2 linked regions of the Daphnia pulex genome follow. The protein of the gene in region 2 purifies or fractionates together with the protein of the main gene of each other region. This does not show direct contact. Links are inferred from orthologs where the notes say so. Each region holds a gene or a part of one and is shown on either strand. Other genes may lie near its edges.

Region 1 (5,230 bases), on a different chromosome or scaffold from region 2:
CACGTGAGCCCGGCCGCCAGCAGAAGGTCCGGCCGACGGGTAAATTCCAGGGCGGGGCGCCGCCGGATAGACGGGCCGGGAGTCGCTGTGTTGATTCAGACTGCCGTTGGGGATCGGTGTCACCGTTGCCACAGCTGTTGGCCCGCGTGAGATAAAAAAAGAGAAGACAAACAAAATAAAAGTTTAGCAATCAACCGGTTCAGTTGCACATAAAAAGTAAATGGGACGACAACGACAACAACAACAACCGGATGAGAAAAATTTTTATGGGAAAATTATGAAAGCAGACGACAGGAAATAAGCAAAAGAAGACAATAAACGTACAGAAATAAAATTAAAGTTGGGAGGGGGAAAAAAATAAATAAAAACGTAAGAACTAAATTTGTAAAAATAAAATGAGCTCCAGAAGATTAATGAAACGACCAACAAAAGATAAAACAAAAAAAAAATTTTTAAAAGGAGGGGTAGAAACTGAAAAATCGGATAACGGTGTATACTCACGTTCGCGGACAGGTTGGGTGGTGGTAGCGACACTAATCAAAAGGCTCTTGGGTTTAATGGGACGCCTGAGTGAGTTGCTACTTCCTGCGTAGGGTTTTTTGTTTATTTTGTGTGTTTGTTTGTGTGTGGGATGGGCGGGCGGGGTAGTAGGAAAGCGAGTGCGGGTCATCAAGGGGATTTCAGTTGATTTTTTTTAATGCAGAGGTTAAAAAGAAAAAAAAATGCAAAATGATAAATAAATAAAAAAAAAATTAAAAACCAAACAGAAAAATCAAATAATTGCAGAGTTTCAACAGAACCGAGCAAAGCCATGCACAAATTAGATCAAAAATTAAAAATAATTCAAATAAACGAAACCAAAAAAAAAAGTAATAAGGCCAAAATCAAATGGAAAGCAGATTTCATCTAATGTGAACAAAGTTGACGGAAATGCAGAAAGAAAAAGACCAAAACGTCATCGACTGATGGCCATGTCTCCCCGACATACCTGCATAAGCTGTCACGTAAGCAGCCCGGCGATCGAGCGAGTCGTTGGCTGCCGTGCTGGGGCCACGACCGGCAGTTGATCCGGAGGCCATGCCGTCCAGGGAGTCCAGGTCTTGAGATCGGCGCATGTTGAGAGGTGAGACCGTGTTGACGGAGCCGGAACGGTGCAGGGATTTGTCTAATCCTTTCATCTCCATCTGGTCGTGATGGATCCAAAGGTCGGGTGGGTTGTCAGCCTTGCCCAGTTTGCCTGGACCTGGAAAAAATTTAAATTGTTAGTAATGATAACGATAATTTGACACAATCAAAGTCAAAAGAATTCTGGCCAGTTTTATTACCGCCTTTGACGTTGCCTTTGACGTAGCCTTTCTTGGAACGATCCGGAGAGTTGGTCACTCCGGAATCTCTGCGGCGGAAGACAACCACCAGCACGACAATGAGGAGGATGACTATGATACCAGTAGCGATACCCAGGATGATGTACAAGGTCATACTGGATATGCCTCGACTATCTGTTGAGTTGAAAAGGGACGGAGAAAAGAAAATGAAAAATTAAGAAAATTCCGGATGGATTAAAAGATTTCTATAAACTAAAAAAAAAAAAATGACTTTCAAATCAAATAATAATGAATGCAGGAATCATGCTGCTAAAGGAATTTACCTCTGCTAACCGGAGTAGCGTCGTGATAAGTCATACCGTTGCCTAAATTTTAAGACCACAGGGAAGGACGGTAAAATAAACAAAACGAGAAAAAAAAGGTTGAATAAAACAAATACTCGGATCATGCCAAACGATAATGAATCAATTGATAAAGACTACTAAGGGGAAAAATAACAATGAAATGCATCAACAAGCAAAATCAAATAATAAAACAATCAAAACGATTTAAAAAAAGAAATGAGCAATGACGTACTTGGATTGGTGCGGAATTGAATAATGCTGGAGAAAGGGCCGTATCCTTTGTTATTTCTGGCCTGGATTTTGATGAAGTATGCGGTATCTGGTGTCAGGCCTTTGATGGTCGTGGTCATCTTATCCCCGACGACACCTTCAACCACCCAGTCTCGATCACGCTGCGAGCTGTCTGTCGTGTAGAAGATGACGTAACCTGGAGAACAAGATTCATTCATTCGTATCATTTAATAACAAAAAAGAATTAGCCTCCTCCGATTCTTACCGGTAATTTGACCGTTGGGTTGCTTGGGCGGCTGCCAGTTCAAGTTAATGGCCGACGGATTCTCCTCGACCGGAACGACCGTCAGATCGCGTGGCGGCGACGAAGGAGCCGCTTCGAATGTTGTGTTTGGAACCACCAAACTCCAGGGACTTTCTCTACGATTCTATTTGAGATTTTAAAAAAATAAATTAAATAAACACTTTTCTCAAAATAATTTAAACAAATGTTTTTTACCTTGATGACTTTAACGGCGAATTCGAATTGAGTGTTGGGTTTCAAATCGTCCAGCATGCAATTGAGCACTGTCGAGTTCATGTAACGGTAGCGCGGATTGCTCGACGTGTGGCTCGAAGTGTACCTCACGACGTAGTACCGCGAGTCGGCGACAGTCTGAAAAAAACAGCAAAGAGAAATTTTCGGTTACAATTTTTTGGGGGAAAAAAGTAAAACCGCAATTTTTCCTTTCCCTTTCGACATTACACCAGAAATGAAAATGAAAGTTTCGTCCTTAAAACATTCAAAGTTGTTTGGCAATGGCCATTGCAATTTTAAAGTAGTATACCTGACTGCGAGGCAAGGTGGTATCCGTCCAGTAGAGGACGACGGTGGTCGACGACAACACAATGGCTTTCAATCCGACGGGCGGAATGAGGGGACTGGGCGGCTCGGGGGTTGATTCCTCGCGCGTCCGCACCGTCTCGTAGATGGGCCGCCCGTCTCCCATTTGATTGTAAGCCCTCAAACTGATGACGTACTCTGAATTGGCTTCCAGTTTCTCAATGACGAACGCCCGCTGCTTGCCGTCCACCAGTTTCGAATAAACGTCCGGAATGCCCTTGCCCCAGCCGATCGTGTAACCGCGGACCATGACGTTCTGGTTGCTGGGCGGATTCCACGAAACGCTAATCGAATTCGTCATCGGTCGAGCTGGATGGAGGTCAACCGAAAATTGTCACGTTTTAATCATCCGAAATCTGTTTGATGAATTTATCGGCCCGACCCGAGTTATTTATTCTTACCTCTCAATGAGCTGGGCGGCTCCGGCACTTGGCTCTCGTCCAGGTCGTTTTCGAAAGTTTCGGCCGTCATCCATTCAGTCATGGGACCGGAACCGTTGACAGTTAGGGCAGAGACACGAACTTGATACTCGGTCCCGCGCACGAGTCCAGTCAGCGTGTAAAGCCGTCGGCTGCCGTCCGTCGTGGCCGTCGACCCGGCGTTGGACGAGCCGGGATTCAAAGGCAAACGTCCACGCCCAGTTTTGGGCTTGTAACGGATCTTGTAGCCGGTGATGATGCCGTTCTGATTCTCCAACGACGGCGGCTCCCAGCGGACAATGACGCTCTGATTTTGAATGAATTAAAAACACAATTCAATTACAAATTTGAGCCGGAATTTAAAAAAATTAAAAAATAATTTCATACCGAAGAGCTGGCCGGTTCGACGACGACGTTCTGTGGCGTGTCGGATGGCAGATCGGACCAGGTCCTGGCGGTGGCCTCTTCGGTGCTGGTCCCGGGTCCATTGTCGTTGAAGGCGACGACCCAAACGGAATATTCCGTGTAGGGTTTCAGTCCGTGAATCAAGTGGCTCGTGTGACTCGTCACCACTTCGTGCTCCTCGGCCGACCCCACTTCCATGTAGAATAACTTGTAATTGCGGATGGGCAAGTGTTGTCCGCCGTGAGGAGCTCCTCCACCGGCGGCCGCCAGATCCGGCGACTCCCAGCTGGCCATCAAACTGACGGACGACACCGCCTGGACGCTCAAATTGGCCGGCGCTTGGAGGACGTGCGGCTCAACCAGAGTTTCCACTTCCAGTGAATTGGTGCTGGCTCCGGCTCCGGCTTCATTGAAAGCTGCCACCCGCAGTGAATACTTTTTGCCCGGCTGCAGTCCAGGGACGTTGACTTCTTCCAATCTCGATCGGCTCGTATTCACCACCCGTTCCCTGGGAGATTCAAAGTGAAAATGAAAATTGATTATCTAATCGAGCGGATACACAAAAAAAGGGGGGCCATTAGACGGGCCAAGTGGTTTGGTTGGTCCCTACCGCTCCGATCCTTCCTGTCGGTAGAAAATGGAGTAGCCAATAATTTGTCCGTTGGTCCTGACGGGCTCCTTCCATCTGAGCGTGACGAAGCGAGACGACACAATCAGGGCTTCCACATCCCTGGGCGCCGACGGCAGTGACGACGTTGACCCGTCGTTATTACCGTCGGGCGTGATCGAACCGTCCGTTTGGCTGGACTCGGACGTCTGGTCGGGTGGTGGCGGCACAGCAGCGGCAGCCTCGCGTGTCCCTGAGTCGGCAGTAGGAGATGTAGCCGTCGTCAAATCCATGCCAGGGTTAGCCGACGTGCCGTTGTCGTAATCTTATCATCATGCCCACGGCAATCATCGCCACAATTGCATGCCACATGGAGAGAGAGAGAACCAGGTGGGAAGGGAAAGGTGGACGGACACAAGGGGGAAATCAATTCAAAAAGAAAAAAGAAAAAAACAAATGTCAAAACATTGATCATGCAACACAAATAAAAAGGGCCGGCTCTCACGTTAATGGCCGGTTTTGGACAGAACACATAAAACAAAATGTGATAAATCATGCGGAATCTTTTAGTTGGGACGACGGACAGTTGAATGGGACGACGGAAGGGAAAATCAATTCATTTTCGTACCTGATGAATAGATGGTCAAACTGGCGGCGGCCTGGACATTGCCGGCCGGGTTGGAGCCGATACATTGGTAGATACCAAAGTCGGAGGCCACCAGACCTAAAATCTTCAAATTATTTCCGTTGATAATCTGCAATTGAAATGGAAAGAAAATTGGTTGAAGAATTCGAGGAAAGAATTAGATGATTCATTATTCAGATTTGTTATTTTACCTGGAAATATTCGCTTTCGATGATGAGTTCTCCATTTTTGGTCCACTGGACGGTGGGTTCTGGCCGTCCGTAGAGTTGGCACTCGAGTTCGGCGTCATCCTTCTCGTGGGAGGTTGTGCTGCGCGGGCGGGTGATGTAGCGCGGAGGCACTTGGACTTCCAGCTGGGCCGTCACGTCGA
Region 2 (6,530 bases):
GGCACCTTTTTTCAAGCTGAGCTGGTTATCGCCGGAAGCTTGAAAGTCATAAAGAGCGACAAAGAGTTGCGGGTCTTCATCGTCGGGTTCGGTATGGAGCAGATTATCTCTCGACGTCCATCGGTGCGCCGATTCAAGGCTAAAGGTGGTACCGCAGTGGCCGCCTCCTAGTCCCGACGATCCGCCACCGTCCATGTCCAACGTGCCCGTCGCCAAGTCGGGCAGCGTTGGCAGTGGCCGGTTCTGCAACAATGCCTCTGTGTGACACACAATCGAGAAGGAAACAAAACAAAAAAAAAGAATAAAATACAATAAAAAGATAAAATAAATGAAAACACGAGAAACAAAAACAAAGGGAGAAATCAGAACGAAACATGCAAGATGTCTGACCCTCATATGGAAACTATTCAAACCGCTAGGCCAATGGCACGCAATGCCACAGTGTATGTAACGGTAATAAACAAGACAGGGCCGGTTTTTAATTCGCCCCTGTTCCAACAAGCTGCTGGCCTCATCTGTTGTGTGTCGTGTTCTTTTCTTTTTTTCTTTTCTTCCATATAATCCCCCCAGATACCGTCGTTAACGAAGGATTTGCATTAGAAATTGCTAGTTTTCAAAATAAGACATTGAAAAATCTTCACGTTTTGACCTCAGTTAACCGGTCGGACGTCACGGCACAACAGCTGTTCGGTAAGTATCTGTTTGTTCCACAACGGCTACCATTACAAGTTTCCCTAAAGTTGCCAACTACGCAAACTGTTGTTGTAGTCTCCGCATTTTTCACGATTAAATTGGCACTCCCCGACACGACTAGATCGTTTCTCTCGTTTCAAAAAACCAACAACAAAAAGTAGCGGACATGATTACACCAAAGTAGACGGGTTCATTGAGAGTAAATAAGTCAAATCTTCCGTGGCGGATAGGATCCGTTTCCAGAAATTCGACCCGCAGCATTTGGTCAGTACAAACAGGATCGAAAGGAATAAGTCAGGCGGAACATCAATAATAAGGTACAGCAGCCGATCAATAATGGCTGACTCTTGACTTTTTTTTTTTTTTTTACTTTTGCTTGTAACTTGTGAGGTTCTTACCAAGTCGAGGCTTGGCACCGGGAGGATAAAGGATCTGAAGGAGCCGCATGACCGAGGGCGGCAAGAGGGCGGGATTCGACATGGCGCAAACCGACCAAATCAGCAGCAGCGTCTTCTTTGACTCTTCTTCTTCTTCTTCTCTTTTTTGGCAATTTTTTGGGTTGGTTTTCACGAAAAAGGAACTTTGACCGAAACCAGATAACTACTTCTTCTTCTAGGCTGCACACTACAGTTCACTACACCTCACGCATAGAGCGAAAAAGGAGAGGGCGAGAAAGGACTGGATAATGTCCGTCCAGTGACGAGTAACTGGAGAGACTGAATTTCCCCTCATCTCCTTTTGCGGCTCGTGATTAGAACGAATCGTCGGTTGGACGAGGCACCACCGGTTATTTCTTTTTCCTCTTTTCTCTTTAATTCTTTTCTTTTTTGCGGTGGCCCCTTTCAGGTCCCTCCCACAGTCGACTCCTGAAACGCAGCACGACATCTGGCCGTCATTTTTCAGCGTTCCGGTCGCTGCTGGTCGAGAGAGAGACACACATACGAGCAACGCGTAGTGGTCCAGGGCACCCTGCATGCGATTTATCAAAATCGTCGTCGTTGTTGTTGTGGTTGTGTAGTAAGTGCACGGAAAAATCCCATTTTCTCAGCAATTGAAGAGAAATGTAATTTTTCTGACAGACAACAACAAGTCAAAGGAAATAAAACTTTCAAAACATGAATGAATGAATAAGAAACTGACGAGATTGCATCTGCCAATGGACACGGTTCTGGCGTCCAAGGCAATCTCACATGGCAGCTGGGAAAAATGATGAGGAAGCCAAGAAAAGAGCATCGCAGACCGAAATGCCAGATTTTTTTTTGTTTTGTTTTTTAGGACAACGTCCAGACGGTTTGTTAAAGAGCCTCGTCGTATCCGAAAGCTGCAATAATGCCATTCCGACAACACAACACAGACACACAAAGACTTAAAAGAGCGATTCTTGGCCCGTTCATTGGTGCGAGAGAGATGGGAGAACCGAGTCTCTTGTACACTAATCAGATTAAGTTGGGAATTTGTTTCTTTTTCTTTCGTTGGAACGGAAAGAGGCATCTGGAAGGAGGAAGACGGGCGCCATACCCGTGACTCCGGTCTCCAAACACTCTGAGTAATTGAACCTCCCCATGATTCTTCCTTCTTCTTCTTCTTCTTCGTCATCATCTATCACTCTTGGGAGTTGAAGGGGAGTTTTGGAGTTGTGTGTCAACCGAACGAACTATGTCAATTCTCACGGTTTCTCTCTTGATGCAAAGTTGGCACGATAGACGGAAAAGCCTGAACGAAAATCACCTGACAAACCGAGTCTCTCGTGGGTCGAATCATAAATAAATTATCTGACGTTCTCTGGCCTCGTGTGCATAATTTGAGTCGCACCAGTTCCAACAAGCGATTTCAGATCTGCATAGAAAGTAGGCGGACTGCCCTGTCACTATGGTGACAGATCAACCACAACAACACCTCACGGTGGCGAATGCAGACTGTGTGACCAATCAAATTGCATAATCTAGTCTATCGATTACGGAGCGATTCAGTAACCCAGGGGCGAATGTAGGTTAGCAGTAGGTTTGGTTTCCATGGCCTAGTAAAAACTCTAAAAGGAATGACAACAAGGGGGTTTTCATATTCACACTCTCAAGGTTGGATCGCTGCAAGTTGCAGTGGCATGAACTCATTTGACAGGAGCAAACAACCACATGCCTGGTTGACGGCACAAGAGTATCGTGGCAAGATAAACAGACAATTGACATACCATTGTGTTCGACAAACACATTGAAGGCCTGAGAACGAGTAGCTGAAGAGTTCTCCCTGGCCGGTCTCAAGGAGTTGGTTTTTGGCTTCACCGGTCTAGAACCAGCTGTAGATGTGAGGGTGAGCGAGTGCAGGGAGCCAGCTGCTGTGGATGTCCGCTCACGTTCCTTGCCTTGCTGGGCTCCCATTGCCCTGAATGTATGCACATCGCCAGCTGGGAAGAGCAGCAAACTGAAAGAGGATGAATCAGATGGTTATGTCTTGGGGTCAGGCTCTCTGCTGTGTGTGTGATGAATAATCCACTTACAGTCAAACTGGGCTATCAGTTCTGTCTAGATAGGTATCATTTGTGATGACAGGCGATGGAGACAAACGGCATAAACGAAACTGGAGTGTTACACTTTGAGGGTAAAAAAGACTATAGCAGACAAGAGCTATAGGCTTTTGTGTTGATTATTTCTTCCAAGGGCGACGGCACACACACACAACTATGCTGAATCCAGGTCTGATTAAAAACAAATACTGCGGCACACCCAAATTCCAATAAAACCCGATCAACAACGACTAATGTTTGTGACTTGAAAAACGAGGGTGTGTTTCTTTTTTGGTTTCAACGTCAACGGTGAACCGAGAAAACGTCTCGGACTAAAAAAGCTTCAAATACGAGAGACTTCACTCCAGCAGCCCCCGGTGTATGGCTGCCATAGTGCCATCTACAAAATTCAGCTCTAGCGGAACAGCGTTGCCGAACTCTGAATATTAAAAAGAGAAAAAGAAAAACAAGTTCGTCGTACTCGTTTCCTACTCTCATCAAATGTCACAGTTTCTTTTTTCACGAAACGGAAGACCCATGTAACCCGTCTCGTGTTGCTGTCTTTTTAATTATCATTGAGATTTCCTCCTTGTGTCTTCATATTAGAATACCAGTGGAAGAAGAAAAAGAGTCTAGCTCATTGTTACAGAGTTGCTGCTGTTGACGCCGGCGCGTTACACAATCGCGGTCGTTCGTTCGATTCGCTTTGCTGGAGATGCACGATGAGATATCTGGCGACTTTTAGATCTAGCGAACCCTGCTGCTGAACAAACAAATTACATCCAACTGTGTTCTAGTCTCTGCTCCGGGAAAAAAAAGAAAAGCTGATTGCTGAAGAACAAAAAAGTTGAGACCGCGAAGAAAGATTTGTGTTAAAATGCATTTATCTTTTCAACGCCGAGCAGCTGGAGATGCTGCTGACCTCGGGAAATCAAAGACTCTGACGAGTGACGATGTTCCTTTTGACTTTTGCTGGGTTCCTTTTCGTCTTTCTTGTGTAACACTAACGCGCTAATTAGGCACAGGGATTTTGTTATCTACCTCCAGACAATGTTCACACACACTGGCAACGACTCGAGCCCTCTCAGCTATAGGGCTCGTATATATAGATCGTTCCAGCTGGAACGTGCTGAGGCTATTCAACGGACAGGGAACCCCTCTCCCTTCCTCATCACTCGAAAAACTCCAAACCGACATTTTTGAATGACTGAGTGAGGGGGAGAGATATAGAGAGGAACTCTTTTGCTGCTGAAAGAGCTAGCTATTGTTAAGCAGGCCCCCAGTCTTTCTGAGCTACTTTGACTGGTTCAAATATAAACAGTCGTCTCTGTATAATACCTTCTGTTCTTTGTTAAAAAAAATCCCAGAAGCCTCATCGTTTTCCTGCCTTCCAACAATTTCAAATGAAACATTTCCAGCAGCTTTCAAAGTCATCGTGCGCAGATAATCACATTTCGCCCCCGTGAAGAAGAAGAATGTCATATCTAAAAGTTCTAAACGGATTGCAGCCGTCCTGAACGGGTCTCTCAAGATTGTGTAGTTGTCGGAAACATTGGAAGCGATAAAAACCCAACAAATTTGTATTCATTTCTGGTTTTTTCTTCTTCTGTTCGACACGTTTTTCTTGTCTATTTGGCACTTGGTAAAGGAAGATTGTCAGGACAACGGCACACATTATGTGACTTGTGTCAAGCTCATTTCCGCGTCTCTTGTGTATCGATTCTGCGCTAGCCGGATGACGTTTTCTGAACAAGCGTCTGATAGAGAATTCTTTCTGTCCCCATAAGAATGTGTACAGGAGATTCGGGGTTGGAATGTCAGCTGGGTTTTCTTGGCTCGTCCTGAGCGCACCCTGACGTAATATACCGCCCACTGGACACGGACCGTACAGTGCTGTAGCTGCAAGAGTTTTTCTTTTTAAAAAAGAAGTCGTTGTCAACATATTGTGGACCGTTGCCTTAATATATTGACATTACGTCAAATAACTCATTTCCAGGGTTGGAGAAGGGATGAACGAACCCCTTTTGCGGTATATTATGTTCTACGTGCCCTGGTTCTGAGCTTCTTCTTAGCTCTCCCTCGCATATTCAAAATATCCCGTTGATTCGACAACCCCCCGAGAAACATCTTTGGCTTCTTCTACTTGATAACTGTCGTGTTCACTTAAAAAAAATGAAGCAGGATATCGAGAAAGGTGAGGAGAGGATTCCCGGTCGCTGGAATCATTTCCCGGTTTTTGACTGGGGAAGGTCTTCCTTTTTCTCCCCCTTTTTCGTTTGTTTGCCAGAGAAAAACAACGCCACACAGTTTGTGCGTGTGTACCAACCGGTGCAAACGATCTTGTTTTAAACACATCGTGTCGTGTGTTGGCGTACGGATGTGTCCAAGAGAAACCTTAAGAACGAACGGTTGTTCTCGATTTTTTCATGCAAACAAACACGATTGTTTTTGTTTACGATTCGACTCCCCAGCGCCACCTATTGACTGACAGTTGAAACTTGCTCAAATGACCGCTAGATGTCTAAATCACCTGACCAAAAAAAAAAAGAATGGGCCGCGCGCAGGTTGGGAACTAAGCCAAAAGGCAAGAGACACCCAGAATGTGTGTGTATAGTGTTCTGAGGCAGAACGTGTCCGGACCGTTGTCGTTCGTGAGCTGCAAGACCGAACTGAAGGCGGCGGCAGAGACCAGAGTGGGTTGGTGTGTTGTTGGTGTGTGCTGCAGCTCCACTCGTTGCCCCCTTTTATTTTTATGAAAAACCACGTCGTCCGAGGTCACATGAACTAGCGGTCTCTTAACATTTCTGTGACTCGTCTGCTATCCTGCAACTCCATATACACACACACCTTGATTCAACAACATCTTTAGTCCAGCCACCATCCAGACAAAGACCACATCTTAAGGTGAGTGTCCACACCAACATTATTGTTTCATTTTCTTGGCTTATCTTGTTCTGTGTTTGGCCGAGTCGAACGTTTTTTGAGCCGTTGTGCGAGTTCACTCACCTGACGGAAAGCGTCCAAAAGAGGCTAGAAAGGGAGGGAAAGGTAGAAACAGTTTTTTAATGACTAGAAGAATAGCCTAAAGCCATCTTTCTCTTTCGGTTAGGTGTCATCCTTTTTTTCTCCATTCTTGGTAGCAATGTACACCCGTGTAAAACACTCTCAAAACGAGTGTTTAGTCGAGTCGATCGAAATGCTTTCATCATGTGTGCAGGTGCGTCAGTGACGCCAGGTGTGCAAATTCTCCAACGACCGACCCATCTAGTCCATTTTTAGTTTATTCAATGGGTATAGGAGGAGGTGGATGTTATGTCCTAGATTTCACGCAGGCCAG

The links.
Region 1: the proteins of tyrosine-protein kinase ABL1-like (region 2) and neogenin-like purify together in Drosophila melanogaster (affinity purification with western blotting; 3 studies listed by BioGRID). This does not show direct contact. The link is inferred for Daphnia pulex from reciprocal best matches to the Drosophila melanogaster genes Abl and fra.

Annotation. Positions count from the first base shown.
Region 1 is NC_060026.1:12,669,225-12,674,454, forward strand, and holds part of neogenin-like, read right to left. Parts: coding exon 5,052-5,230; intron 4,970-5,051; coding exon 4,843-4,969; intron 4,540-4,842; coding exon 4,218-4,539; intron 4,116-4,217; coding exon 3,590-4,115; intron 3,510-3,589; coding exon 3,185-3,509; intron 3,093-3,184; coding exon 2,728-3,092; intron 2,556-2,727; coding exon 2,400-2,555; intron 2,329-2,399; coding exon 2,166-2,328; intron 2,097-2,165; coding exon 1,902-2,096; intron 1,691-1,901; coding exon 1,649-1,690; intron 1,500-1,648; coding exon 1,326-1,499; intron 1,244-1,325; coding exon 989-1,243; intron 586-988; coding exon 502-585; intron 135-501; coding exon 1-134.
Region 2 is NC_060021.1:8,612,683-8,619,212, forward strand, and holds the start of tyrosine-protein kinase ABL1-like, read right to left. Parts: upstream 3,610-6,530; 5' UTR 3,188-3,609; intron 3,112-3,187; 5' UTR 3,069-3,111; coding exon 2,882-3,068; intron 2,867-2,881; exon of another isoform or gene 1,174-2,866; coding exon of another isoform or gene 1,092-1,173; intron 258-1,091; coding exon 6-257; intron 1-5. UniProt on the Drosophila melanogaster protein: Arm and Abl proteins function cooperatively at adherens junctions in both the CNS and epidermis; critical for embryonic epithelial morphogenesis regulating cell shape changes and cell migration.